4 linked regions of the Alligator mississippiensis genome follow. The protein of the gene in region 4 purifies or fractionates together with the protein of the main gene of each other region. This does not show direct contact. Links are inferred from orthologs where the notes say so. Each region holds a gene or a part of one and is shown on either strand. Other genes may lie near its edges.

Region 1 (7,204 bases), on a different chromosome or scaffold from region 4:
TGTGTCACATGGTGGCAGAGAGCAGATGCTGAAAGGGAGAGTGAATAGGAGATGACCAGGTTTTTCCCTGCTACCATTCCTCTCACTCGCAGGCTCCAGCATTTAGTCTAGGAAGTGCTGACTCAGAAGCTGTGCCCCTAATTCTCACTAGCTCAATAGCTAGTGATGCACCTTTCCTTCAAGAATTTGTCTAATCCCTCTTTTGAATCTGGCTAAACAATCAGCTCCCATAAAATCTTGTGGCAATGACCTCCACACTTTTAATTACATGTTGTGTGAAAAAAATCCTTTCATTAATGTTAAAATTACTGCCTACTAGGCACCATGGGACTCCAGAAAGATAAAGTGAAAACAAGAACTGTAACTTTGCTAGTGCTGAGGAAGCCACCTACACACTCCCAATGACACCACCAAAATCAGATCATACTGGTAGGTCTTCTGCAACCATAACAGCTTGCAGGCTTTAAAAGTGAAAGATGCCTAAAGAAGCTGATACAAGCCCTATACACCTCCCATGAAGCAGATCTTAACAGACACTGAGCTCACCCAGGCACACCTCAAAACACTCAGCAGCCACATCTCCAGGACAGTTTGCCACCAGGCTGGCACAGTTCAAGCCAGGTGTGTGTTGTACCAGCACCTGCACAGAAGCCCCAGCTTGGAGAGCTACAGCAGCATTTTCAATCTTTTTAGATTCAAGGCCCCCCCTCATAAAATACCAACTCTTCACTTTCACTCTACTTTTGACTACAGAAAACCAACACAACAATTCTTGTGGCAAAAAACTCGGAAAGACCACAACCAGTCAGAACAGCTCAGGCACTGGTGGATTCCTAGTTGAAATCTCAGGGTGGGATTTGGTGAACTGTGGCTGCTCATTGCTACTGTGCAGTAGCATGGGGAGGCACTAACTGTGATGCAATACTACTGTGCAGTAGTGTCAGAAAAAAAGAAACGTGGGCATGCGACTGCGTAGTAATGCTGGTTACTGCGCAGTCATTTAGTACTTGATTATGCGAGTACTAAATGCACAGTGACAACTGCACAGTCCACCACTCGTGTAGATGTGGCCTGTGTGTAGGGTGCACCTCTAAGGCTAAAAACGGACTTTGTTTGCCTGGAAACTGATTTTCCTGGGTTTCGATTCATAGTTCGTAGGGTCGGAAGGGACCTGAGCAGATCATCAAGTCTGACCCCCTGCCATGGGCAGGAAAGAATGCTGGGGTCAAATGACCCCGGCTAGGTGATTATCTAGCCTCCAAACAGACCAGGGAACAGTAATTTAGGCTAAAAACAGACAAGGAAAAATGTTAACTTGAATAAGTCACAAGTACATAGTGCGAGTCCAGTTGAACCATTCACAGATACTTAGAGCATGGAGCTGGGCTGTCTGCAAGGTTTGGATTTGATGCAGCACAAAACCCTCAGATGAGAATCAAACCCAGCAGTCTGTTAGCAGGGGTATTCGGAGGTGCACTTGTACTCCCCTCTGATTTCAGCTCCATCCCAAGTTTAAAACCAACTGCCCCACAGCAACATTTCTAGTCAGGCAGCGCTGAGGAAACCACCTGACTTCATGGCTCATTAACAGGGATCCTGGTTTTCTCTGATTAAAAAAAAAACTCCCCAGTCTTCAGATTAAAGAAAAGTAACCCCAAATCCACATTTCTCCAAGATTAAAATGAAACAACACTAATCTATAGATATCTATAAATAGATAGAGATAATGCCATTTCATTTTAATCACAGAAAAATGTGGATTTGGGGTTACTTTTTTTTACCTGAAAATTGGGGATTTTTCTTTTAAATCAGAGAAAGCCAGGATCCCTGCTCATTAATAATCTACCTGCTTCCTTTTAAGCTCTTCAATCCATGGGTGTGAAGGCCTCTTTCTCCTTTTTAACGGCCTTCACGTTTCACCCCTCCAGCCCAGGCCTGAAACGTGGTAGCCCGGCGAGCTGGATGGAACAGCTCTGAGCCCATACGCTGGAAACCCCTGATTTTTGAGAAGCGAGGTAGGTCTGCGACAGTCTGGGCAATTACACCGTCTCAGTCGCTCTGCCATTGGCTACAAGGGAATTTAGCTGTGGGTGCCCGGGGCATTTTCAGACAGCAGAATTTGAGCAGAGCAGAGGCACTGCCCTGTCTTAGCCCCTAGGTGCCCTCCCTCATGGACGCTGATCCTGGCCCAGCCTTTCTTTTACCAGCTGGCCGTGCCCTGCTCCTGGGAACAGCAGCTCCCCCCTCCCTGCCTCGCAGGCAGCTTTTACCTCCTTCCAAGCAAGCAACACTCCTAGTTTTTGGCTTGGCTCCTAAATGAGTGAGTGAGCAAAGCTGCTTATTTCTCCCCCAAAGGAGAAAATTGCGCTGTGGCAGCGTTTCTCAAGCCATGGGTCACGACTCACAAGTGGGTTGCAAATATACATATACGGAAGGGTGGGGAACAAGCTTTAAGACCAGATTCCCCTTTAAAGGAGGGAAGAAACTGTGGGTTTTCCCTTGTCAGCTGGCAGAGCTCCAGCCTGCCAGGCGGTGCTTGGGGACCGTTGCCTGGGGGTGGGGGGGGGGTGAGGGGCACTGGGTCGGGACTGGCCACGGATGTTTACAAGTGGGTCCTGGTACATAAAAGGCTGAGAGCTGCTGCTCTGTGGGACGAGGTCTCCCCTTCAGCACGCCCCGCTTCGCAGCCCCAGATCCGGCCAGCGGGGCACGGGCTAATAAAACCGGCCCTTCGTGGGGGGCGGCTGGAGCGCGGGGGGAGCCTCCCCCAGCCCAACGGCCCCTCCCCTCGCACCCCCATTGGCTCCCGGGCGCGGGCATGGAACCCCCAGCAAGGCCCCCCCGGCCGGGAGTGGGGAGAACCCGCCTCTTACCGAGCAGCGCGGCAGCAGCGGCCAGGAGCACGGGAGCGCGGGGCCGGGCCATGACGCAGGGAACAGAGCGCAGGAAGCAGTCGAGCAGAACAGAAAGCCCACCCACCCCCCGCCTCTGGAAGCCGGGCCGGTCATATGATCGCTGACGTCACCGCTCCGCGCCATCGTCACGTGACCCGCCCCCTTCTTATTGGAAGGGGGGACCATTAAGGAGGCAATAGCGCGAGAGTGGCGCTGTTTCTCACAGTAGCCCCGCACTAGGGATTAACGCAAACCTTGGGAAGACGGGTTAGAGCTCCCCGAGCGAGGTACCCCAAAGCCGGTAGCACCAGCGCTCCCATCGCTCCTGAGCGTGCGCACATGCCGCCTCTCATTGGCCGCCGCAGGGTTCGAGCGACCAATCAGAGCTGCCCTTGGGAGCCTTTAACCCCGCCTCCCCCTCCCTCCTTCTCAGGTGGGACTGAAGGGGAGGACAGACCCTCCGGTTCGGGGTGGCCCCGCCCCCTGTGCGTCACGGCCGGCGGAGGGGGGAGCGCGCGGCCTTCGACATCGGGAAACATGGCAACGCGCTCGGCAACTTTGTGGCGTCACAGAGCAGGGAAGGAAGTCATGGTACCTTGTTAGCGCAATGAGCCGGGATCCTCGTTTTCTCCGATTAAAAAAAAAAAATTCCCATTTTTCGGATATAAAAAAGTAACCCAACATGCACATTTTTCCATGATTATAATGAAATACCACTGGAATATATATGTATATACTTATTTATTAGTGGCATTTAATTTCAATTATGGAAAAATGTGGATGTTGAGTTATTTTTTATATCTAAAAAATGGTAACTTTTATCAGAGAAATCTAGGATCCCTGATGATGTTTGCAAGGCAGTGGCTGGGGAGCCACTGCCTGGGTCTGCAGCCTGCCATGACCTGTGTTCAGTGTGATGTTCTCCGCGGTGCCTGCCCAGGTGACTAGATCAAGTCGCTATGGAGAATTTTGGACTTTACTTGTAGGGCTCTTTTGGGCCATGTCACCACTTGTTGCTTGTTACCTGATGCTAAGGGCATAGTGCAATGATCGACCCGGGTGCTGCAGCATCCCAGGTTGCTGAGATCCATTCAAAGGTGTTGTGGAGCGGCCCTTCTCCCCCATCCTAGCACTGCTACATGTGGGTTCATCCTGTGGCTCAGGTTTGCACAGGTTTCACAAAGGAACCCATTGCATTAAGAAGGTTCTGTCCTGCTGGGATTGAGTTGTCTGCAGCAGACAAATTCTTATTTTTCCATAGTAAAAAACCCCATACAAAAATCAAACAAACAAGGGAAAACTAGGAGCTGGGTTTCTCTGAGCTAGGCCTTGAGTCTAAAAAGGCCGAGAACCACTGGGTTTAGCATCTGTCCAAAGCCAGTGGCTGGGAGTAGGGAATAAGTGAGAAAAGGAGAAGAATGTGTGGATCAACTCATGAACATTATGGAAAAGGTCTACCTGGTCAACATAAGGGAAATACTCATAAGACTATAAACTGGCTATACATTTCTGCAGGGAGCTGAATTTTGGACACTTAATAGAGACTGGCTTTTGCACAGCAGGGGTTAAGGACAGGCATGGGGAGGCAGCAGCATTCAGCTACAAGACTGGCCAAGGTCAAAGACAAGGCACAAGCTAGCTGCCTGCCTACAGTCAGACCCTGAGGAAGGGGCTGAGCTAGATTGCAGGGTATTGCATTCAGCAATTTTGTGTTTCACTTGCATTTTCTCATGCTTGGTCTTTCATATAAAAAACAATGGCATGCTCAGAAACTCTGTGTAAAGTCTATCTGCCATGCCTGCTCTGGAAACAGATTGCAAACTAGAAAGCTCATAACCTTTGCTGTGGCTCTCAGAAAGGCAATGCTTCAGCCCTAGCGAGTCCCTTCACTGCATCTGATGAAGCTTGCAAGTCCTCTGCTTACCAAAGCTTATACTATGAGTCTATAAAGGTGCAAATCTACCCTGCCTTTTGCCTGAGCTCTAGCAACTGAAGTCAGTACTAGAACTAAGTATAGGTAGGCTTCAGCTCTCAGGTGTTGTCAATGCTAGGGCATGGATCAGCATCTATGATGGCAGCTACAGACTCTTAAGATGGGGCAGTGCCTTGGCTCCACTCAGATTCTTAAGTCTTAAGACGCTCAGGACATCCATTAACTAAATTCCCCGGTACCAAATTGCAAAGTGATTGAGATGATGTAATTGTCCCAACTGTTACAAATGTAACTCATTTTACATAGACCAGGGTTTTTAAACACAAGTGGGTTGCAAATATATATATGCAACATATATATATGTTCCATCCAGCTCACTGGGCTACTAGCATTTGGGGGGCAGGGGTAGAGGTTGTGGCCTCCACAGAATTTGGGGTCACTAGGCATCAGTGGCACTGGGGGTAGAACAAGGGCTGTGTAGATACAGCTCTTGCTCACCCTGCTGCTGGGCCCTGCTACTACCACCTGGACCTCTGCCACCACTGCCCATAGAACTACACCAGAGCTCCCAGACATGCCACAGCTACTGCTGGCCCCTTGGATCTAGCTCAGGAGGAGCCCGGAGGTCCAGATCCAGAGTTTGATACTCCTATCATAGATCAAATGACAATGGTTTTGGTCACCAATGACATGGTTGAAAGTGTAGCTGAAAAATTGCTTACTCATTTGTTCAGCATGCAAACAGTCTAGCAAAAAGTAGAATTCATAAATCTTAATTTCTTTATTACTGTACCAGTGAGAGTAACTTGACTAACAAATTCCAGTCCACTGGTATGTTTTTCTAATTACACAGATGAGAATTACCTGTTGATTACATCGCTTCCTCAGGCAGACATAATTCACTGGCTGATGAAAATGTTTCTAGAGAATACTGTCAGTTTTTGTAAACTACTGTTTTTGTTCATCAAAACACTAGTTAAGAGTTTCATTTGTTGGAGTGAATGAGTGAGGGGAAGGAGAAGTAGTAGTGATATGCACCATTGTTTAACATGTATCACTGGACTTCTGTTTGTTACTGCCAACTCCTTAGTCTAATGATTCTCAGCTGTGGTGTTGCAAGATCCTTTGAACATTGACAAACAGTATTATCTCTGTTAGGTGTGCAAACATGTATGCAGGATTCCCAGGACAAACCCAGAGATTTCTAACAGAAATCCATAGTGTCAAAAACATTCTGACCTGTTGTGGTCTTCCTGAGTTCTTTGCAACAGAAGGATTTACTCTTATTTTCTGTAGTAAAAAAAAAACAAGTGAAAGCTAAGAATACGCATTTTCTGAGGCATGTCTCAAGTCCAAAAAGATTGAGAAGCATTGCTTTAATTTGAAGAATCTTCTGCTTCATTAGCCTTATTATATATACCTTTTTCTTTCTTTCTTTTTACTTTTAATATTTTTGCAGATGGACTGGATGGATGTGATATGAACAGAAAATAGATCAATCAGTCAGCAAACCTGCCTTTAAACTAACACTAAACTGCAGATTGAAAAATTGATTTAAGTGCCACAGTCGCATTGTGGCCAAGAAATTCATATTTAATATGCAACAAAAATGTTTTATTTGAATTAACGGAAGATTCAAATATTAAAACAAGTCTACATTAAATTACAATGTTAAATAACTTTTAAATACATTTATTATACTAAAGATATGTGAGGTTTATCTTCTAACCATAGCGGAAAGGGAACAAAAATAATTCAAAGAATGCAATACAATGAATGATAGTAGATGAGAGGAGGAGGACTTTAACAAAGAAACTCAAGAGATATCTGTGTTTAACAATGTATTCTTAAGGGATAGTGATCTTTTAATTTATGCACAAAATTACATTACATAAATTTAGTAAGGTACTTTTCAAGAAAATATTGCTTAGTTTAAATTCTCATTATACCATGATCAAAACTCCTTTGGTAGTTTTTAATTAGAATCAAACACACCATTACGCAACTCCTGTAAAATAAACAGAGGCTTGTAAATATTACCACAAAAAGTATCTTCCTTATAGTTACAATCATCTAACAGAGCTACAAGTCTTTCATTCTTCAATTCAAATCAACTTACATATATACAATATGTAACAAGGTACTCACAAAATCCTTAATCTCTCAAGACAAAAAGCTATGCTTTCACAACTTCAAGACTAAAAGTCTTTAAGAAAACTTTTTTCTTTTTAGTGTAGAGCACACTGTACAGTAATTACACTGTATGCGACTCTAAAGGCAAAACTAGGTTTTACTGCAGTTTTACATAAACAGTGATAAAAAATTGTTGTCCAAAAGCAAGATAGGATCTGTTGGATTCAATCTTCATTACCCCCAA
Region 2 (7,370 bases), about 140 Mb from region 4:
GGGAGGTGAGCAGCAGGGATGTTAGCCCCCTGGGTGCCAGAGCCACACTACTATAGCAGCTCCAACAACTGTGGTGATTAAATCCATCACCACTGCTTATGGGTCATCCAGCTCACAAGAAGCCCTATGGTCTACATCTGGCCAAATGAGCTTCACATTCCTGTATCAAAACTTTTTCAGCTCCTGGGATGGAAAGAGCATAGAACATTCAGTACTTCAGAGCTTGGCAGGGGAAGCTTGGCCCCCCATAGGAAAGAAGGACAAATGCAGTTTCAAGAAGGATTAAGGTTTCAAGAGTTTGGTACCTTACCACCGTTTACCAGAGACACCGGGGTAGGAGTGGGGGAAGAAGTGCATGGGGCAGGCCTGAGGGACAGATAGGCCTGCCCCAGAGAGAGGGCTGAGATCAGGTATGACATCAGGTAGTCAGGGCATTAGAGAAGAAATAGAGAAAACAAGAGAAGTCTGGGGTGAAGCCAAGGGTTGGGAGCTTTGGTGATGGTGACTGAAAATGGGCAGTTGCAGAAAGAATGCTGTGAAAAGGGAAACATTGTTGCTTTACTTCACAGAGCATCCTCCAAGCAAACTGTATGCCCCAAACTGTTATATTTAGCAAAATTTATTCAGTCTTTAGACTATTTCTATTCACTTTAGGTGAACCATGCCATGACTCAGCAAAGTTACAGCAAAACGCTTCTCCTTTAGGAAAGATGAAGGAATGCCTAGGTAAGCCCTGAAGGAGCAGCAGGAATTAGCAGACTAGAGCAATGTAACAAACCACTAAATCCTTAAACAAATATGTCTGTTTCAATACCCTTTTACAGGGATCTGTCCTGTAGCTATGTCAGATGACCAGTGCTCACATGACAGCAATCCAGAGATGGTGCTTCCTAAAAGAGAAGGCCAAGGCAGAGAGGAGAACTAAAGTCTGCAGAAGGTTGGTCTTTGCATTAACCAGGAAGCAAACAGAGAAGTTTTAGAGGAGAGAGATTTAGGAAGGGACCATGCAGTCTGGAAAAGAGGGTTGGAATATGTTTTTATGCTGCCATAGTACATAGTTCTTACAAGGCCCCATATTAGAACAATGACACTTCACAACAGCTGTTTCCAAATTGGGTGAAAACTCCTCTGTTGGTAATATTAAACTTACAGAGAAGGAAAAGGAAAAAGCAAGTAACTGGTTTGGAGCATGGATGCAAATAAAGAGAGAGGTTTGTTTAGTAATGATAGCAACTGCATGTTACTTTTCCAAGAAGCACTATCTTAAGTTGGTTTCCTGGGCAGGCTGCTCCATGGAATGATCAACCATGATTTTAAACTGTCTTTTTTAATATCAGGGTTCAGGACTTTGGGAAACAAGTACCAAATATTATCTTCCAACTTTGATTCCTGGGCTAATTTCACAGCATTTTTAACCCTCTTACAGTGGTATTGCTTCTGATTAACCCTTGGCTGAACTTATCCTAGTATCTGTAACACAAAGAGTTTTAAGTCCATTATATTTTTCCCCCTCAGTCCTATTGGCCCTTTAAGCTGGATGTTTGCAATGAGGCATGAAAGGCCAAGGGCAGGCAGATCTCCTTAGTTCAATTCAGAAATTGACAGTGGAAACAAATCAGAGAACAGGCATATTCTACTTTCTTGATGTAACCCAGCTGGGTAAGATCCATTATACCCCAAGGACTTTACTTCAATGGCAACTTAGGTTTCTGACATGTGCTAACAACATTTGCCTAGGTCAGATATTCTACAGATGACAGATCCAGCTACTGGAAGGTCTTGCATGAATAGCCACTCTACTGCACAGGCATGGCAGGATGGGCTGGGGACAGGGAACAAAGAACAGTTCCTCCACCTACAAGCTGTATTACAGTTTCTCCTTTTCTCCCTTCTGAGTTCACTCCCTTTGGAGCTTGACACCCAGGACTTCCCAATTAAAGTCCTTCTCTGACACATCCCAATTCTCCTTAAGGAAAATGACTGGAAGGAGCAATGCATAGGCTAACTTGGTTAAACTCTCTCTGGAAGCTCTGTAGGAAAGGGAAATTAAATCTATTCCAGCAGATGTTTTGTTTGACGAAACAAAACATCTGCTGGACGTTTTATCTCTGCTGTCTGTAAGCAGGGATGGCCTAGGCCCAGTACTTCACCAAGGCAAAACTTAACCTCTCCTTTTTCTCCTGCCCCTCCCCCTCCCCAGCTTTCAAGGTACTTGCCCCAGACTCGGAAGTGATTTATCAGGGAGGCAGTTTCCAGGCGAGATGCTCTGCCAAAGGCCCCTTCAGAGGTTTCTGGGTACAAGCAGCAGAGACCACCCCGAGGGACCACAGAAAGGCAGTTCCACCCCTGAGCCCAGCACCAGGCAGTCAAAGCAGGGAGGCAGGGGAGTGAGGACCCCTCTGGGGAGGTACAAGACACTGACCTCCTGCCGTTGGTATGAGGCATTCAGGAACCCGTGGTAGCGGCTCCGCAGGGCCTGGCCCAGCTCCCACTGCTGCTGCATCCCCATCTGCCAGCAGGCCCAGAATGAGTCACCAGGCAGCCCGGGCTGCTCCGGCCCAAGCCCCCTGCCTCCCCCGGCCCCTAATCCCCCCCGGCCTCCCCCTGCCACCCCCCGGCCCCTAATCCCCCCTTGCCGCCCCGCCCCCAGCAGGCACCTGGGTGAGCTGCCCGAAGCCCTGAGGCCAGGCGGCCTCGCGGTAAGGGTCGCGGGGATAGGCTTTCACCGGGGAGCGGTCGCCGTGCCGGTACACCTGCAACACAGCAGCGCCCGGGCCCGCGGGAGTCAGTGCCGCCGCCACCCGCCCCGGCCCCGGCCCCAGCCCCAGCCCCAGCCCCAGCCCCGCGCACCCCGGCCCGGCGCTCACCAGGGTCACGAAGCGGAGGCTCCGGGCCTGAGCGAGCGGCGGCGGCTCCGGGCCCAGCGCCAGGCCCAGCAGCAGCAGCAGCGGCGGCGCGGAGACCGCCCAGCCCCGCCGCTTCCCGGCCGCCATGGCGCTGCCCAGCTGGCCCGCAGCTCTCGCGGAACTCGGGCGGTGCCGGCCGCGGGGGCTGCCCGGACGGACATTTCGCAACACGCGGGAAGGGGGAGTGCGAGCTGCTGCTAGGAACGGAAGCTTCAGGAAGGGAGGGAATGAGGGGTGGGGGGACTGTGAACGGCTGCGCGCCGGAAGTGGAGGTGAGAAGGGGTCGTCTGGAGAAGGGTGTCCCGGCTCGCGAGCTGTCAATCAGAACCGTGGCTCCTCCGCCCGCAGGGCCAGCTCTCAAAGCGGGCGACTCCTCGCCAATAGCAGCGCGAGAACTGGGGTTGAAGTCCCGCCCCCTCAGCTCGCTCCGAGGGCTGAAGCGGACCTGGTTCCCCAGTGCAGCCTGTCCCTGCCTCGTCCTGTCCGGTTGCTGGAGGGCGGGTACACTGCCGTTGCCACACCTCCCTCCGCCTCCTTCCCTCGGTGACCCTGGAGCACCTTCTCCAAAGGATGGGCACCCAACAGGTCTACAAGCCCTTTATTGTTGGCCCTCCGTGTTGTCTCTGCAGAAGGCCGCTCTCTTTAGCAGGGCCTCTATTAACCCTCCTTTCCTTGGCTTCGGCTCGTTGGGGAAACGGAGGCACACAGCATCATTACAACACGGACACTCTTAAAAACAGAAAATTTACAATGAAAAACATGTCACAAATAGCTGTGGTCTTTTTTTGGGGGGAAAGAGGAGCAGGTGTGTTTGAGCAAGACAATGTTTCCTAGTGTACTAAGAAAAGTCAATACTGACATTTTTAAGCAGCTCTAATACATCAGCATTTGACCTTGTAATGCCTCCTCAATGCCTCATACCAGTGGCAGGAAGTTAGTGTCTTGTACTTTCACAGAAGACTGCTTTTGGGGAGAAAAACTGATTTGACTTACAGAGCATATGCGCAGATATTTTCTGGTTGCGCTCGGAAGTGTGGATGTTGTAATGATAATTGTAATACTTTAATCACAGTCTTACCTATGGGCTTCAAATAAATCAGGCCCTGTTGTGTCAGGGGATTTATATGTTATTAAAGGTGATTTATAAAGGGAAAGTATTGTGATTATCACCTTTTTGTGTCTCATAAAGAAGTCCATATATATATGGCCTTATATACCATATATAAGAAGGCCATATACTTGTGGCCTTATATACATACACACACACACCACAGAATTCTTATGTATTTCAAAATCAAAATCAATCTGCTCTCACCTTGTGAAATTATGAGGCAATTGGCTAGTTATCTCAGGTGCCTGCACATGGACACACACAGCCCAGGAAACAAGCGGGAAGAATTGGAAGTCCTTGCGCAGTCACAGAACTATGATGCGATTGGAATAACAGAGACATTGTGGGATAGTTTACATGACTGGAGCACTGTCATGGATGGGTATAAACTGTTCAGGAAGGGCAGGCAGGGGACAAGAGGAGGAAGAGAAGTTGTACTTTATGTAAAAGAGCTGGATGAGTGTTTAGAGCTCCAGTATGAAACTGGAGATAGGTCTGCTGAAAGTCTCTGGGCTAGATCAGAGGGGAGAACGACGAGGGTGATGTCGTAGTTGGTGTCTGCTATAGACCACCAGGCCAGAAGGATGAGGTGGATGAGGCATTCTTCAAACAGCTAGTGGAAGTTTCCTGATCACAGGCCCTGGGTGGCTTCAATCACCCTGACATCTGCTGGGAGACCAATACAGCAGTGCACAGGCAATCCAGGAAGGTTTTGGAGAGTGTTGGGAACAACTTCCTGGTACAAGTGTTGGAGAAGCAAACTAGAGGCCAGACTATGCTTCACCTGCTTCTCACAAATGGAGACGAATTGGTGGGGAATGTAGTAGTGGATAGCGACTTGGGCAGCAGCATCCAGGAGATGATTGAATTCAGGATCTAGTAGGAAAGGAAGGAAGGAGAGCAGCAGAGTGCACACCTTGGACTTCAGAAAAGCAGACTGACTCACTCAGGCACCTGATGGACAGGATCTCCTGCAAGGCCAGTCTGAGGGGGAAAGGAGCCCAGAAGAGCTGGGGTATGTTAAAGAAACCTTACTGAGGGTGCAGAAATTAACCATCCCCATGTGCAGGAAAGCTAGCAGGTATGGCAGAAGACCAGCTTGGCTTAGCAGAGAACATTTCAGTGAGCTAAAGCACAGAAAGGAAACTTACAGGAAGTAGAAATTTGGACAAACAACTAGAGAGGAGCGTTGGTGATGCATACGGGGTGCACATGGGTGCACCCCCTGACAGAAGCGCTGCTGACTCTGCTGGTGGTGCCTGTGGGCAGTCACTGCTTGCCACCCCTCCCCTTGCCACTGATACCACCGGCCACGTCTGCAGGCGGTCCCTGATTGCTGCTGGCCACCACCAATGCTGCCAGCACCATCTGTGGGTGGTCGCTGACCGCCGGTTGGTGCTTACCACCCTCCCCACCACTGACACTGCCACAGCTGAATTCAGGAGCTTCCTGCTCGCTGCTGCCCCTGCCTCCACCACCTGCGCCAGTCGCCAGGCTCCCCCAGCCTGCAGGGGCACACATTGTTTATGGGGAGGAGTATAAGAATATTGATCGGGCAAGCAGGGATAAAATCAGGAAGGCCAAAGCACAACTGGAGTTGCAGCTAGCAAGGGACATGAAGGGTAACAAGAAGGGTTTCGACATGTTAGCAACAAGAAGAAGACCAGGGAAAGTGTGAGTCCTTTACTAAATGGGGCAGGCAATTGTTATAGGGCACTAAGGTGTGCCTACTCCTTTAAGGGCAGAAACTGCCTAGAGAGAGGGCCCTAGTAGTCAGCCAGGAACCCCACAGATGCAGCTTACTGTAGCAGCAGGCCTAAGGAGGGAATTAGCCTGCACCTGCAGCTGGTCAGCTGACCAGAAGAGGCAGGGCCCTGGGCACATATAAACCCCAGGGCTGGGACTAGAGAGTTAGTTCCCTGCCAGCAGTCAGAGGAGAAGGAGCCTTTAGGGAGGAATTGTATAGTAATGCTGTATTTGGGGCTAATGGGGCTCCAGGAGCTTACCCGGTACCCTTGCCTACAAGGCACTTAGTGCTGGGATAGAAGTTTCCCTCTTTTAAAAGGACAGACCACACCCTAAACTTTTTGTGTTATGTTATAGTCTAGGGGCTTATATTTTTGGTTGCTGTTTTATAGTACTGGAGAATCAGGCTGAAGCTATTGGGGAAGGAGGAGGCCTCATTGGGGGCCCATTACAGTGTGGGGACCCTAGTGCCAATGTGGGTGTAGTATTTGGGGTGTGGGGACCCCAGTGATGACCGGAGGCCAAGCTAAACTAAGGCCTTGGAGGGATAACATATGAATGCCATCTGCAAAGCTTGGGGTGTAGTAGAGGCTCCGTTTGGAGCCATGCATCTAGCCCATAAGGCTGAGGGTGTCTTGAGAGGCATCCATTTGGAGCAGGACCCAAAAGGGGTCTGAAAACCCACAGGGTTCAGTGGGGTCTATCAGGACTGCCCAAGATACAAACTTGAGGGCAGCCTCCCAACTTATTATAGTATCACAAGATGTGACAGGAGAGAGAGGGTGGCTGTTGGGCAGGATTGGCACGGTCAAAAAGCCTTAGGGGTATCATGGCCATCCCTGGGGCCCCCATCCTGTGACAGCAACCTAGTGACAGATGATGAGGAAAAAGCTGAAATATGAGCTAACAGTGTATCCTTGTTGCAAAGGAGGCTAACGGCATACCGGGCTGCATTAGTAGGAGTGTTGCCAAGAGACTGAAAGAAGCAATTCCTCCCTTCTGTTCAGCACTGGGGAGGCCACATCTGGAGTACTGGTTGCGCAAACACTTATGTATTGGCTTAATGTTAAGGACTAGAGTGGTGCTGCTAACGGCAGTAAGAATTCCATGCTTTGTTAAGAATGTGGTGCTTAAATATTTGTAGGCTTGGAGTTGTAGTGTTTAATAACTTGCTATTTCTCAAATAAAACATTATGCAATTTTTTTTACGTTTAGATACACACTTGTAATTTCATGCCAGTTTTTTTTTAAAGTCTTAAAAGCTTTTAATTAGGAAAATTTACATACTGCAAGTTGAGGACTGCCTGTATTATGTCAAATTGCACCATTTTGCACTTACGTTTAACTTGCGTTTATAAATTGATACCCTGTTTCAACTTTCCAACATCATTTTTGACTTTACAATGCTTGATCTAATGAGATGCCATGCTAGCGAACAAGCTTGCTGTGTCACCCGTATCCCTGGAGAACATTTGTCCAAACTTCCTTGAACGCTTTCTTTAAGAAAGCATACAAGACTCCAGAAAAACCTGCAGCCAAGAACCCTTCAAAAAGTCCAGCAGTCACGTCAAAGAAACCCTTTCAAATCAATGAGTGCTATTTACAAT
Region 3 (7,217 bases), on a different chromosome or scaffold from region 4:
TGTACTGTCTCCCATCAGAAGTTTAGCTATAATTCTTGCTTGCATACTGTCAGGCACATAGCAGCTTCTGTTGCTGGAAGGGAGCACTTGAATTCACTTGCTGAAGATATGATCACTACTTCCTTCTCTCTGTAAAGAAGCAGAACCCTTTGATAGTTCCATTTCTTGCAGCAAGATGCTAGAAGTAGTTAAGAGACTGGTGCAAGAGGGAAAGGTGGTGGTTTAAAAAGTATATGGCACTTTACATAAGTAAGTTGCATTTAAGGTCCTGCCTGAATGAAGTCATGTTCAGTCTTGGACTAAGATTGAAACAAAAGATTCTTTTGTTTCAAATCCATGACCTCCACACATTTAGGGTGGTGGGGGTGGGAAATACAGCTGACTAGTCTCTTGGAACTCGTACTCCAACTTCCCTGTCTACAATCATCTGAAGAAAGCAGAGCAGTTCCTTTGCTGCAGGCCCTTGGTTTAGGCTATTTTCCAAAAAATACAGAGAATGGATAGTGCACATGCATCCACAGGAATATGCAACTTGACAAAACATAAAACCACAAGCACTTTATTTTGAAATCAGCTTAGAGGTACTGGACAAGTGTACTCTTGAAGTTTAGTAGCTCAATATCCACGGATATCCTAGAATACACAGGGTTATCAGACACTGGGAGCCCGGCTACTTCCAGAACAAGAGGAAGGAACAAAGAAACTTCCTTGTACGTTCAAACAAGTAAAACTATTTTTTTTGGGAGGGAACATCTTTCCTGCTCCGCCACCATTTACATGAAGGCATATTACACTAAGGCATGCTGCACTCCATAGGGGCAAGGCTCAAGATACTGGTGACCAGGTCAAGTGCAATGTAGATCTGCATAACTTTATGCAACTAAACTGAAAACCAGAAGCACCTGTAGGAAGGATTTAATTCTAAAACTAGTTTCTGTGTTCAAGCTAAACAGCACTTGTGGTTTGCTCTCCATTTCCACCACACAAGCGAGAGTTACCTTGGGTGTTTTCACAGTCTGGGGAAGGGGGGGGCAGGCATTTTAATTAAAGCAGCTGGGAGAGACACTCTAATTAGAATGCCTGCAGCATCTTACAAAGTGTGGGGATGCTGATACAAAATGGTGATGGGGGAGCTTTAGCTTAAAGGTTGTTGAACGGGGGATGCTGATAGACAAGATGAGGAGGCTGCTGGAGTGTGCCAATTAGCACACTTCAGCAGCCTTGATTAATTGAGTAGTTACCACGCATCCGAGCCACTCCGCACATCGACAGACACTGGTTAAGCCCGAGTCTTTTGGAACCAATGCAGTCCTTCAACCCTAATCCTATTACACCACAACACTCAAATCTACAAATAATGGTTAATCATGGCATCCCTATTAATTCTCTTTATCTTGAACAAAAGTTACTCAGGTCTTTGTTCTTGTCACAAGGTCACTTTTGTCAACTCAATTTACTAATGCAATTGAGAGAAGTGTCAGCAGGAGGGAGGAATGGGCTGGGACACGATCTCAAGGTTATCTAGCTTAACCTTCCTTTCCCCCCTGCCTCTAGAAAACCTTCAACGAAGGTGAGCCCATGATTTGTCTAGCCCATGTGTTGCATTATCTTACTGCTGCAGTGAAGATAGTTTTCCTAAGATCGAGATGGGCGAATTTAGATGCACACATTGCATTGTGTTCCTCCTGGCCACACTTCGTGTTCTCTGTAGCAGCCTTTACTTAAAGAGTACTCTCATGACCCTCCGTAATCTCCTTTCCTCTAAACTAGAAATACGCTTAGTTCTTTCAGCCTTCCTGCCTCCAGCATGCGTCCCCAGCCCCTTTCTTTATCCTCCATGCTTGCCTTTGGACCCTCCCGTTTTTAACTTTTTAAGAAAGTTAGTGGAGGCTTAACTGGATTTAGGCCAGAACAGGTGGCAAGGTTTGGGAAGCGCTAAACAAAGACTCCCTTTCTAAACCCCAAACCACATTTGCTTGTTTTTTTGCAACATCATCATGCTGTTGACTCAACCACAGGCCCCGAAACCTCCTCAGGTCACACCACTGCCAACGATGGCCCGTTCTGTATTGATGCATTAGGGCCCCACTACAAGCTCAAGCGAAACACGGCTGCAGAAACGTTAGCCTTTTCAAGCACTAACTTTGTAGCTGGTTGGCTCTTTTATAGCTGGATAGTCATTTTTAGCATGCAATAACTACTTTGCACATGCAACCAGTCTAAATGTACTGTATGACCCGCTGGTTAATTAGGTGATCGTTGCTTTGCATTGTGGCCCAGTCTACATGTATGGCACGACTGACCCATCTGCGCAACGCAGAGCCCAGGGGGCCTTATGGTTTTTTCCCCCGGGGCTGCAACGACGACACGCGCGGGAACTGCTTTGCGCACAGGGCCAGTCTACACATGACGCGATGGGTGGGGCAGGCGCGCCATGAACGCGACGTGTAGCAGGAGCCTTTGGGTTTTCACGCAGGGGCAAAACAACAATTCTCGTGATTACTTTGCACTTGCAATGGTCTAACTGCACGCGGGGCTGCTTTACATTTATGGCGCGAGCATTCGCAGCGCCATACATGCAACGGGCGCCTGCACACGGGAGCCGGGGACGCGTCTCGGGCCTGGGGCAGAGGGAGCCCGGACAGGTGCCGTGCGCACCGCCCCCCCTCGCTAAGCGGCCGAGTCACGTGCCGCCGCGTCACGGGCCCCTCGCGCGCCCCCGTCCGAGCCCTTCTGACCCCTCGCGGCCCCCATCCGTCCCCCCTCAAGGCCCGGGGCCAGGCCCAGGTCCGCTCTGAGGCGAAGCAGCGGGCAAGCGCAGGCCCGCGCAGGCCCCGCGGAGCCGCGGCCGCTGCCACTCACCGGCGCCGCAGAACAGGAGGAGCAGGAGGGAGTGGCGAGGCAGGCGGAGAGGCCCGCAGCGGGACCAGCGCGGCTCCATGCTCCGGTAGGCGTCGGCGGCGGTGGAATCCCCGAGACGGAGGCAAGCAAACGGGCGGGCGCAGCAAGAGTGCAGAGGCCGGTCATATGAGGGGGCGGGGCGCTGCCCGCGTAGCCAATCGCAGGGGCGGTCCCGCCCGCCGGGGGGTTCCATGGGTCCTAGGCGCTGCCCACCGCGTAGCGGCGCGGGCGGGCGCAGGAATCGGACTCGAGTCCAGGAGCGCTGGCGGGCGGGCGGGCGAGGCTTTCCCGGGGCACTGCCCATAATACCGGGCCGCAGGCCACTGTTAAGGGGGTCCTGTTGGAAGTGGAAGCATTATAACTTTCTGTTAGAAAGTTCCCTACCCCCTTGCTCATAACTAGGGATCCTGGTTTTCTTCGATTAAAAAGAAATCCCCGTGTTTTGAGTAAAAAAAAAAAAAAAGTAACCCCAAATGCACATTTTTCCGTGATTTAAAATTACATACCACTAATAATGTGTGTGTCTGTATGTATATATGTATGTATAGTGGGGTTTCATTTTGATCATGGGAAATGTGGGTTTGGGGCTACTTGTTTAAACCTGAAAATCAGGGATTTTTTTTTATCCGAGAAAACCAGGATCCCTGCTTCATAACCTCACTTGCCTTTAATCGCCTGGCCTGCAGCTTTCCATTCCAATGACCTGCCTTGGGGGTTTGGCTGTTTTGCCAAGGTCCACCCAGGTTGATGCGCGCAACAGGCACGTGCTCAGCACAGACCCGGCTCCCCAAAGCGCCCGTCGTCCTCGCTCAGCGCCCTGACCAGGCTGCCGTGCCGTTCCCGCCGGGCACCTGGCCATTCGCCCGCCCCTCGCAGCTCCTACGCATGATGAGCCTTGGCTCCCGCCTTCCCCGCGCTGGCAGTGTAGGCTCCAGCCCAAAGCTTGTCGAGTTGATGTTGGGCTTCCCCAGGAACTGCTGCTGCAGATCAGCGTGGAGCTGCTGGGCCCTGGATCTGCAAACTGAGAGCCTATTTTTCCTGGGGTCTCCGTGTGCCTGTTGTGCTAGGCCGTGCGGAGAGGAAGCTGCCTGAGTTGAATGGAGTCGGAGCGCGGGGAGAGAAAGGACTGGACGATTTTGAACCATGGAGGTTCCTGAAGGGGATGACAAGCGGCTTGAATGCGATGCAATGAAGGGAGCTGATGGGCAGGTTCAGAAAGGGAGAACAATGGTGATGGTGCTACTTAAAGACCATCCCACGGTTTTGTTTGTTTGGGCCTAAGGGCTGTTGAGTAATGCTCTAGTATTAATAACGACTATCAAATTATATCTGTAATATTAATTGTTATGTTTGCTGATTGCTTGTACTGCTGTACTGTTTTAAAGAGCAGCCCAACAGTTAGCCTGATCCTGCTGGCCCTTCAAGCAGAGGACTCGCTTGAGTTTTCTTGGTGGCCATTTCACACATGCCACGCTGGCAGGATTAGGCATCACTTTCTAGGTCCCAGCTCCCCATTACAGTGCTGGGCCTCTGCAGGCTGGCTTGTGGAAGCATAAGGATGGGTCCTGCTCTCCTGGAAGTGGGTTCGAATACAGCTGAAGTCAACGGAGTTACATTGACGTAATTCAGGGCTGAATTTGGCTCCAGTTTTCAGGGTACTCATCCTTCAGCTACCTTAAATGTTGCAGTGAGTTGTGTAAAGGAGAACCAGTTGATAACTCCATGCTGGCAATTTTCTTCCAGTTCAACACCTCTAGTTAGTCTGGGCCAAAAGAAATAGCACAGTTAGCAAGCAGGTGCGTAGTCTGCGTGACAGGTTTTCCAGTACTGTAGTTCCTGAAGCAGTGATTATAGTCATACCAGTAGTTCCTAAACCAGGGTGCTGTAGCACTCTGGAGTGCCTTGACTTCTTTCAAGAGTGCCATGGGGCCCCATCAAATGTTAACACTGTTAGGTTTACAACCATGATTCACAGGAGAAACCCAGAGACTTCAAATAGAAATCCCTGTTTCTGGACAGAAAAAAACATGCTCTATTTATTTTCCATAGGCGAAAAAAAGGGTGAAAACTAAGAGCTGGCACTTTCCACGTGGTGCCTTGAGTCTATCCAGAGACGCTGCAAGTTTAAACAGGTTGAGAACCACTGTCCTAAAGCCTTGCCTCTCCTCTTAGTTCTATAATGAGCTTTAAAAAATAAAGGGACAAAATAAACCTTCCCTTCTGTACCAAAATCTGTCTAATTCTTTATGGCAAGAATTTTTTTGGTTGCCACCCATTTACACAATTTATCTTGAAAGGTGCTGAACTTCCTCAAGTCCCTGTAAAGGGAATAGGTCTGGTGTACTCAGGAACTTCTAAGGAACCAATCTCTGATATATATATATCTATATTCTCTGTATATCTGGAGATTATAGATATAGCCATAATATAGATATAGATCTATATATATCTATATATTGCTGTGGTACTGGTTCCAGTTGCCTCTAGCATTTCAGAATCAAGCATATGTGGCTGATAGCAATTAATGGTGGAACAGAATGATCTGTGGTGCAATGTATTAAAACAACACATCACCTAGGGAGAGATTTGAACTAGAGGATGAATGAAGTTTAATGAGTTATTCCCCACTGTGAGTGCATGAACTGAACTGAAGGAATGGGGTATTTCTGTGGTGCATTGCCATTTTTACTTCATGCTAGACTGAGTTTGATATTGGTAGTGTTAAGAAAAGGGGGAGTGGAGTGCTTTACAGATCTCTGTGGCAAGATTCCTATCTGGGCTTCAGATCAGCCAGGGGATTAAGCATGCCTAACTTTAAGTACACAAGCAGTCCTGTTGACCTCCAGTGAAATCACATGCTTCAAAAGGTAGGTGTATGGTTAAATCTCTGGATAAATCAGGGCCCCACCCTTTGGTAATTAGAGGTAGGCAGACAAATAGGTCTTGCATTCTGATTATTTTTGCACGCTGAGATTTAAAGATGTTCTGGGTCAGAGTAGGGAATATCGTGATGGATCTGGAGGTTTTGGTGTTTTTGCCCAAACATTCACAATAGCAGGCGCATATTTCCAGTCTTTGGTCTTGTAACATACAAATTGCCAAATACAGAAGGGGAGGAGATACATACCTGACAGGCCCTTGTTATATTTAGTCTGTTTGTTCATATCTGCAGACATTTTCTTTAGTAAAACCTCCTTTTAGGGAATATTATGGCCTGCCTTTCACAGCTCATGCCATGGCAAGAACCAGTGCAATCCTGCTCTAGGAGGCAGTAAAAATTTGGGAGCATGGGACAGGAGTCTACCCCATACAGGGGACACACTTGGGCATTACGGATCCACGTAACAGGAGTGTGTCCCCCACTAGCCCCGTCTCCCCCTACACCGTGATCTTGTTAGCTGGTCTGTGCACTGGAGTAAGGATTTGGACAGCTGCTTAAGGAGAATCGCGGCCTGTCCAGCAGGGCGTCACTGTTAATAGGATCCTGTTGGCTGTGAAAGCATCAGCCAGTTCGGATTAGAACAGGAATGGATCTCGGTAGCTTGTGGCTGCTCTTCCGGAGTCTGTAAAACAATCTCTTGCCATCCCAAATGAGTAACGTGCGGGATGGAGGATTGCTGACAGCAGCGAACTGGTGTTCCTGAAAGGCAGACTTCTGGAAGAAGCGGTGACGGGAAACCAAACAATTACATTCGACTGCTTAGTGAAAGTGCTGAGTCAAGACTCTGGCAGTCACGTGAAGCATTTTCATCATGGAAGAAAAAAAAGCAGAAGTTTCTTCTTTTAACTTAAAGGGCAGGTAGATCAGGTTGCAAAAGAGGCAGAACAAGCAAAACTTCCTGCTAAGGAACTTTGCAACATGATGTTCCCAAACAGCTGAGGAAACCTTTTGTCAGCTGATGAGAGGGGAAGAAGGGTGGGGTGAAGAAGGGAGTATTTCATCACCGGGAGCTAAATCAGTGCAACTTGATTTAATACTTGCTAGACTCTTCCAGCAGCAACAGCAACACCTTATCAGGTTTTCCTGTGGCACTAGCCTCCCTGCATTTATAAGCCATTGTGCTTTTTGCCACCAGTTTCCAAAGAAGCCTTGTCTGGAGACAGCATGTTGTAATGTGGCTAGTACTCAGCCAGTCGGGGTTAAATGGTTCCAGGCTGAGACTTCTGTGCCATGTGCAAATGACACCAAACTATTTACAGAGGCCGTCAGCAGTGAAAGCTTACAAGTTTTGCAAGAGCAACTGACAGCTTAGTAGAGTTTGGGAACTGTGAAATGCAAGGGTGAAAGCGGCATTTTAATTAATTACTTATTGATA
Region 4 (7,727 bases):
ATTTATGCATCAAATTATAAATAAATCAGGGCCAACCCAAGACAGTGCCTGGACATAGAGATATTTTTAAGTATAGAAGATTGAATTTTAGGGATTGTTACATGTTTTATCTACTAATCTCATATCATGCTTGATCTAATCTCCTATAGAACATTTCATAATAGCCTACATAACATGAATTTTCTATTTCATAAATGAAGAAATATACAAGATGTAATTTGAAAAAATTCCAACAATGTGCACTAGCAGATTAAAGATTAAACTCAAATTCAAAATGTAGGGAAAAAATCATTTTGTCACAAAATTCCATTAAGTGGCATAGAAAAAATGGCAAGTACCTAGCTATTACTGTCTTAGTATTTTTTTTTTAATTTGCTACTGACAGAATTTACCATAAAAGGTTTATGGGTATATTGTCATCTGAAAGCATTGAAAAAACAGGCATGTAAATACTAACGTTTTGAAATCAGAATATACTCAGTAGAAAGTACCTTTTACTGAAACAGGCAACAAGAACTAGTGTTTCTGTTAATACAAGTGTAATTGCAATAAATATTGGAGTTATATAAAACCTGTGTAACCAGGTTTTCAGTCTCTTTTGTTTATAATTTTTAGGATAACTGTGATAAATCACTTCATCTTTCTGATTGGATCTCATCTTTCTTTGCTGGTATCAGCTTAGTTGTCATCTATGCAAAATTCAGAATCTAGACCCAGGGCTGTTGACCTGTGAGTTCGGGGCTATTTCCTAAGAAAGGTCCATAATAAAAAACAAGAAAATTACCCAGAGTAGGATCCATTTCCTGTCCACTCCAGCACTCTGATTCAGTAAACCTGTAGAAGTGAAATCAATAATGGAAAGCTATTGGCAAAAAAATGGAAAAGGTACCTCAATTACTGTTTTTGTTAGTAACAGATGATGATACATAGTGACAAAATACTATGGTGATATAAAACTTTTATATTTTTTATTTATATATTACCTGCCTATACATATAATTAATGTCCATAAAGCTATGCTTTATTTCTCATCTTTCTTTTACTAAGATCGTTTAAATAAATCTCACAACAGCGCTTATCAAGTACACATTATTCCCATTGTATGGATGGATAAACGAAGGCAGAGAAATAACATGATTTAAGAGTAAAATGATACAAGTAAATTAGTGACATATCAAGTACAAGTGAAGTAAATACAAGTAAATTAGTGACATAGTGACAAACAGTATCCAACTGTCTTAATTTCCAATGTGCTGCTCTAACCACTGGGCAACAACATTTGTTTATACATTTCTTTTGTAAAAACACAGGGCTTACTTTGATGTTATCAGAGCAGGATTGAAAAGGTAAGAAGCCAAACCTAATGAATAAAGATAATAACTCTGGATATCATCTTACAGTTCCTTAATACACTTGGACTTGACTGACAATATCACTAAGACCTCTTTACAGTTCTTTGGCAGCAAGATAATACAGTCTCTTGACTACTTGGGGTACCTGACCCCTAGAAATAGTGGCCAGGAAAAGCTGTCTTCTAGAGAGAAGGAACGTGCGTGGCTGAACATTTTTGACAAAACTGAGTAACACTGAACTGTTTCAGTTCAGCACTGTTGTGGGATTTCACAGCAGCTTAGTACTGTTGTAGGTTTGAGTTGAACGTCAATGAGACTGATAAGTTTAACCTATGTCCTTTATTTAAGATAGCTCTAATAGTTAAGTGTATGCATCCACTCAAAACAAAACCTCTTCAGGAATTTACAACCTCTGGGTGAAGGGCTTTGGTTAAGTATTGTTCTCAGAAGTGTGTGCATGTGTGCATGCACATATGTAGGTGAGAAAACAAACATGACAGAGAAACTGAGGCCAGAAAGCCTGAAATGAGACTTTCCAAGTTTATGCTTGTAATGAGGATGGCAGAAACAAAAGCTACCCCAACAGGAAGAGCTTTATTCAGCTGCTTCTCTCTGGCCCCAGTCCCCAGAGCCCTGTTGCTAATGTGGCCAACATGAGCAAGGTACTCAAAAGCATGGATCAGTGCAACCCCAAGAATCTGGTCATTTAGGTGGAGACCCCAGCAAGGAAGAAAGCATACAGCCTGAAGGCCAAGCTGGTTGTGCTCAAACTGTATCAGATCAGTCTTGCTTTTTTTCCTAAACCAGTCATAGCTTACATCACGGGTGAACAAAATACAGCCCAGGGGCCAGATCTGGCCCACCAGGCCATTCTATCTGGCCTGCAGAAGCCCTAAAAAAATTAGAAAATTAATATTTATTTGATCCTGGCTGCCTGTCAAAGATGACAGGAGCTAGGGGCAGTAGTACTCAGGGGAAGCCAGTGGCAGGACCCACCAGCAAGGCCCGCCCAGCCCCAGCCCCCCAACCAGAAGACCCTACCTAGCAGAGGCTTCTGGCCTGGGACCATGGGGCTGTTCCTGCTTCCCTGCACCGCAGAGGGAAATGTGGCCCTTGACAGCTTGCCAAAACTCAGTAAGTGGCCCTCCACCCGAAATAATTGCCCGCCTCTGGCTTACATCCTGCTCAAAGTCTTGTTCAGCCTTCCATGCATGAACTTCATCCTCTGCAAATGTCTGATCAATCTGGTTATCAAGAAGGGGGGTCAATCCTCTATCTGGAGAAGTTATTGGAGACCAGCCACTTCAGGCCTTCTGGCAAGCCTTTGGGACTCCGTATGGCATCAGATTTGAATGCTTCACAGTAGGATATTAATCTACCATGCTGGGAATGATCACATATTAACCAAATGGACAACAACACCTTTCAGACAACAATGTGGACCAGAAAACAAGACTGAGCAGAAACCCCCTGGGGCAAAATCTTAATTTGCAATCAGGACAATATCCAACTCCAAAACGTAATAAAGGTGAATTTCCATAGTATCTTTGGTAGTTTAAGAGTAATGTTGTAGTGGTAATGGTCCAGAAATTATGCAAGAAGCAAGGATTTCTTAGGATGATATCTTTTATCTAACTATAGAGCTGAGACAATGTGAGGCAAGCTTTTGAATGTAAGAATTTCTTCCTTGGGTCTCACAGAGTCCCCAGCATCAGGTTGTGACCTGCTTGTTGCTCTCATGAAAAACCTGCTGTATTCTTTTAAATATCACTATACCTTGGGAGCAGGAGTGATTTTGGAGAGAAAACCTTGCGTGACCCCGGGGTAAGCCCAGCAAGTGGGGGTTTGGGACAGGGCGCTGGCTGAAAGAGCTGTGGGGTCATAAGGAAGCGAACAGTCTCTGCTCACCAGCTTGCTCTGGTGTTCAAGAAAACAGAACTTTGTACGTCCCTGGAAAGAGACAGGATTGCAGCAAAGATATGCCTTGGGTGCAGCCCCACTTGTTCCTCCACACAGGAATTTTTTTTTAATTCAAATTTTCTATATTCCAAGTCGAATTAGCCAAAACAAATTCCAAATCTGAGTCAGTCCAGAACCACAAGTGGCCCTACTACAGGCAAACATCCTCCACCCCCATCTGAGGCTTCAGATGTTTCCAAAACCTTTGGTGGGCATCCTACTTGCAGGCCCAAGCCTGGAGGTTTGGATGCCCCCCAGTTTTGCTTGCTCCCAGCTGTATGGCCCCAAGGAGCAAGCTAGGGAGGAGTCTCCCATTTCCATAAAGTGGGCATAAGCCCAGGTTAACTATGCATTACCTATGCGCATTAGTGATGCATAGGGGGTGCATGCGGGTGCACATGCACCCTGAGATTGGTGCATGGCCACCTACAGGAGCTCCCCGCTTGGCCTGCCTCCACTGCTGACACTGCTGCGGCTGCCCACTTGCCGCCGCCATGCCCCTGCTGCAGACACTGCCCCGAGGGCAGTTGCCATATCCCACCAGCCTCCAGATGCACGCAGCATTTATGCCTATGCGGGGACTACCCCATGCCAGCAGAGTGGTCTTCCCTGGGTGCAACTAGGAAACCACCGCAGTGATCATGGTATTTCCTCTTGCCAGGCAAGCATAGGACTACACTTGATCTGGGCCCACAAAAATAGGAATAATCCTCAAGTCCTTGAGTCTGGGCAATTTCACAGCACCTGCTGGCTCCTTGGACTCGTTGGAGGGCCAGCTGGCCAGCGTGCTCTGCTCCACGCCCCCCATGGGTGCACTCTGAACTTCACTCTCGTGCTTTGGCGACACACAGTGCACGCGCACCCCCTAAGCGTGGCGGTGCACCCCCTGCAAAAAAGGTGCCGCTAACATTGCCGGGCTGCCTGCTGCAGATCGTCACTTGCCACCCCAGCACCACTGGCGGCGTCTGCGGGCGGCCACTGCCTGGTCACCGCTGGCCACTGCCGATGCTGCCGGTGGCGTCTGGGGGCGCTCGCCACCCCCCGCCCCATCGCCAACAGCGCCGTGGCGCCTGCGGGGGCTTGCTGTCCCCCAGCCCCCGGCGTCCCTGCTTTGGATTCCATTTGCCCCACTCACTCACTCACGTGCCCCGAGCGCCCCCACTCTGATTACGGGGGAATTGCATAGCTGGAGGCTCACGTTGCGCCCTGGCACATGGCAGGCCTGGCCCGGGCACGCTCCCACCAGTGCCCAGCTCTGGGAGCGCCCCTCAGGGGTTGTCCCAAGCAGCAACGATCCCCGGCGAGCCTCCCGGGGCCGTGACCCGCCACCCCTGCAGGAGCGGGGGCCGGGCGCGGGGCGGCGCTGTGCGGGAGCGGGGGGCGGGGCCGGGCCCGCCCCGCGCGGGGAGGCGGCGCAGCCCAAGAGCGCGCGCCGAGCGGGGGGGCGCCTCGGGCGGCGCTGATGGCGGCGGCGGGAGCGGGGCGGCAGCGGCAGGAGCTGGACAACGTAAGCGCGAGGGGAGCTGCTGCGATGTCGCGGTCGCGCCCTGCTTGCTGCCCCCGTGCCTTGCAGGGCCGGGGGCAGCCGCCGGGCCAGGGCAGGGCCGGGCCGGGCCGGGCCGGCGCCTCCCACAGCTGCGCATCACGTGGGGGCTGCGGGACCCGCTGCTTTGGGCCCCCCAGAAGGGGAGGGAGGCGCGGGGGAGAGCGCAGGGCAGGTGCATTTCTCCCACCGCGGGCTCTTCCTGTCTGGGGTTAGGCCAGTCCGGGCGTGGAAAGGCAGAGGCTTCTTCCTCCCGGTTGTTTTTGCCTGTCCGGGAAGGGAGAGGGGCTGTGGTGCTTCCCTGTCCCACCCCTGCCCAGCTAGGCCACCGGCTGTGGGGGTCTATGAGGAGGTGGCAGCTTGAGGGGGGCAGTCACCTGAAAACGCAGGGCACTGGGCTGAGGAAAGCCCTTCCAGCGCCCTGTCCCCAAGGCTGCTTGGGTCCTGTCGGGCTCGCAGGAAACTGGCTTTGCTGTTGCAGGTGCTGGCAGGTTCTCGGTGCAGAAATGCCAGCGTCCGGCTGCAGGACGGCAACACGGCTAGGTGCTGGGCATGTGTGCGCTGGGCTATCTGTGAGAGGTCAAGAAAGGGAGGTTTGCACGCTCTCCCAAGTATGGCTGCCAAGGTTGTTTGCAAGCATGGTTGGAAGCTGCCAGCCTGATGCTCCCTTCTCTCCCACACCTTGATCTGGAAAGGAGATCTGAGCAGAAGAGTACAAACTTTCTGCTCCACATAACAGCTAGTCCTATTAGTGACAAAGCAAGCTGTGACTCGCTGTGATTTGAGCAAGCTGGTTTTTGGCCTGGACTACACTATACATGCGTTGACCTAATTAGAACATCTTGATGTTGGCTTCTGATTTAAATTGGAGCCAATGCCTCATGTCAGGCACTTTAATATTAGCTGTGTTTTTCTTCCAGCTGTCATGGGCATCATCGTATGAAGAAAATCTTTGGGAGACATTAAGTCTTGTAAATTGTTGGCTTCTTCCATGTGAAGATGAGTTGCAATTAAGTGTTGCAAAATGCTTCCCTCAAGGAAACTCTAGTATGGTAAAACCTGTTTTGATAAAGTACAAGAATAAATTGGATAACCATTGTATTGTACAAGCCATGCCCATAACATGAAGGGCACCTATTGACTACTGCTGAAAGGATCAAAAAACTCACCAGATAGCCTGTGGGGTTACATAGGGGATACAGACCTTTTTTTAAGGTTGCTTTTGAATGCTTGCTCTGCAAAATTTGTATTGCATCTCATAGCTGGAAGTGGCAAGTGAAAAGACAAATATTTAGTGTTTTGACTTTTGAGTGGTTTTTGGAGCGCACTTAATACTACCCTCCTTTCTCCTAAAGGAAAGGCAGTCTTTGCAGAGTTCTTGTAGCTGTTGAGAACTACAACAAGAAGGTTACCTATAAAAGAGGCATTCTGATGCTGTAGTTGTAATAGTTGAATCAGCTGAGAATGAAATGGGCACCTATCACTAGTGTGGCAGCTCAGCTGATGTCTTGTCTGTCTCAGTTTAGATTTTGAAGAGCATGAAAAGGAGTAGGGATCCATGCAAGACTCAAAAGGTGAGGGTGTTTGGAGAGGAGGAGCTGATATTCTCTACCACCTTGGAATTGGTATGAAGCTAGGCCTAGTCCTGCAGCTTTATGTAGACATGAAATGCCCTACTACAGCAGTCGCGAACTTTTTTGTGTTGCTGGGTGGGAATAACTCGGCTTGGGTCAGAGGCTGGCTAGCCAGCGCTAAGATCCATGTGCCTCTGCTTCCCCCTGGCACCTGGCCATGGCGCAAGCAAAGAACGCACCACTGAAAACTAAAGCCCCCAGATTCATGAGTTGGATCCAGTGGCTCCATGGGCTGGATCTGGTCTGCAGGCTGTAGGTCACAGACCCCCTAGATCAGTGGTTCCCAACCTTTTTAGACTGCAGACCAGCATACTGCAGACCAAAAGGAACTGACATAGTGTGGACCAGCAGCTGCCAGTCTGCAGTATGCCGGTAACTTCTGGACTAGCAGCCAACCCTCCTGTGGACCAGCAGGCAACCCTTTGTGGCCCAGTATTGGGCTGTAGCCCGGGGGTTGGGAACCTCTGCCCTAGGTACTATATCAAAGTCTCCAGAGATGTCCAGCAGTCTGAGAACAAAGATCTCTCCTACTTCACAAGCATCTTTGTGTTGTATTGTATTCTGAATTCTCATTGTGTAGCATCTGCAATGGTTGCTGATGTTGCATGTTATTGGAGTTCTGTGATTTGTTAAAATTATTCTGCCCTGGAATAGGAATTTGAAGAGATCATCAGGATAAGTAGCTAGCTTCTCAAGAACTGGGGTGGCCTGTCTTTATCAAGAATGATAGTCCACACTTGGACTGTTTCTATTAATGATGGGCATGTTGTTCTTCACTGGGTTCAACCAGCCAGAAGAGCAAGGATCTTGCTGTTATTTTCCTGACTTAAGGAGGGAGTGGCTTGGAGCAGTGTTTCTCAACCTGTGGTATGTGTACCCCTGGGGTACACAAGATGTGGGAGGGGAGTAAGCAGGTGCTGAATTTTGAGTTTGACCCATCCCCCTACTTGGCAGGTTGGAGGCATCTTTGCCTGTTCGGGCCGGAAGTTCCAGTGCACCGCACTCCCCAGCATCAGTGTGCCAGGGGACAGGGAGGACAGCCCTGCACAGGCTGCTTTCCCCGGGCCGTGGTCCATGAGGAAGAAGTGGGACTCAGCTTGTGGCGGCAAACCAGAAGTGCCACGGTGGGACTTCCAGTTTCACTTTTGCCATGTTGATTGGCAGGTGGTATGGAAGGTACCAAAGGTTGAGAACCACTGCCTTGGAGGAAGGTGTTGATAGTAATGGTCAGTGGGTGGC

What was found.
Region 1: the proteins of TMEM192 (region 4) and LAMP1 purify together in Homo sapiens (affinity purification with mass spectrometry; 3 studies listed by BioGRID and IntAct, with this or other methods). This does not show direct contact. The link is inferred for Alligator mississippiensis from reciprocal best matches to the Homo sapiens genes TMEM192 and LAMP1.
Region 2: the proteins of TMEM192 (region 4) and ACP2 purify together in Homo sapiens (affinity purification with mass spectrometry; 3 studies listed by BioGRID and IntAct, with this or other methods). This does not show direct contact. The link is inferred for Alligator mississippiensis from reciprocal best matches to the Homo sapiens genes TMEM192 and ACP2.
Region 3: the proteins of TMEM192 (region 4) and LAMP2 purify together in Homo sapiens (affinity purification with western blotting; 5 studies listed by BioGRID and IntAct, with this or other methods). This does not show direct contact. The link is inferred for Alligator mississippiensis from reciprocal best matches to the Homo sapiens genes TMEM192 and LAMP2.

The regions. Positions count from the first base shown.
Region 1 is NC_081824.1:351,784,399-351,791,602, forward strand, and holds the start of LAMP1 (lysosome-associated membrane glycoprotein 1), read right to left. Parts: upstream 3,005-7,204; 5' UTR 2,926-3,004; coding exon 2,874-2,925; intron 1-2,873. UniProt on the Homo sapiens protein: Lysosomal membrane glycoprotein which plays an important role in lysosome biogenesis, lysosomal pH regulation, autophagy and cholesterol homeostasis.
Region 2 is NC_081825.1:227,906,012-227,913,381, forward strand, and holds the start of ACP2 (lysosomal acid phosphatase), read right to left. Parts: upstream 3,018-7,370; 5' UTR 2,994-3,017; coding exon 2,868-2,993; intron 2,754-2,867; coding exon 2,658-2,753; intron 2,510-2,657; coding exon 2,423-2,509; intron 1-2,422.
Region 3 is NC_081831.1:72,415,678-72,422,894, reverse strand, and holds the start of LAMP2 (lysosome-associated membrane glycoprotein 2), read right to left. Parts: upstream 3,014-7,217; 5' UTR 2,942-3,013; coding exon 2,863-2,941; intron 1-2,862. UniProt on the Homo sapiens protein: Lysosomal membrane glycoprotein which plays an important role in lysosome biogenesis, lysosomal pH regulation and autophagy.
Region 4 is NC_081825.1:86,738,359-86,746,085, forward strand, and holds the start of TMEM192 (transmembrane protein 192), read left to right. Parts: upstream 1-4,719; 5' UTR 4,720-4,773; coding exon 4,774-4,818; intron 4,819-7,727.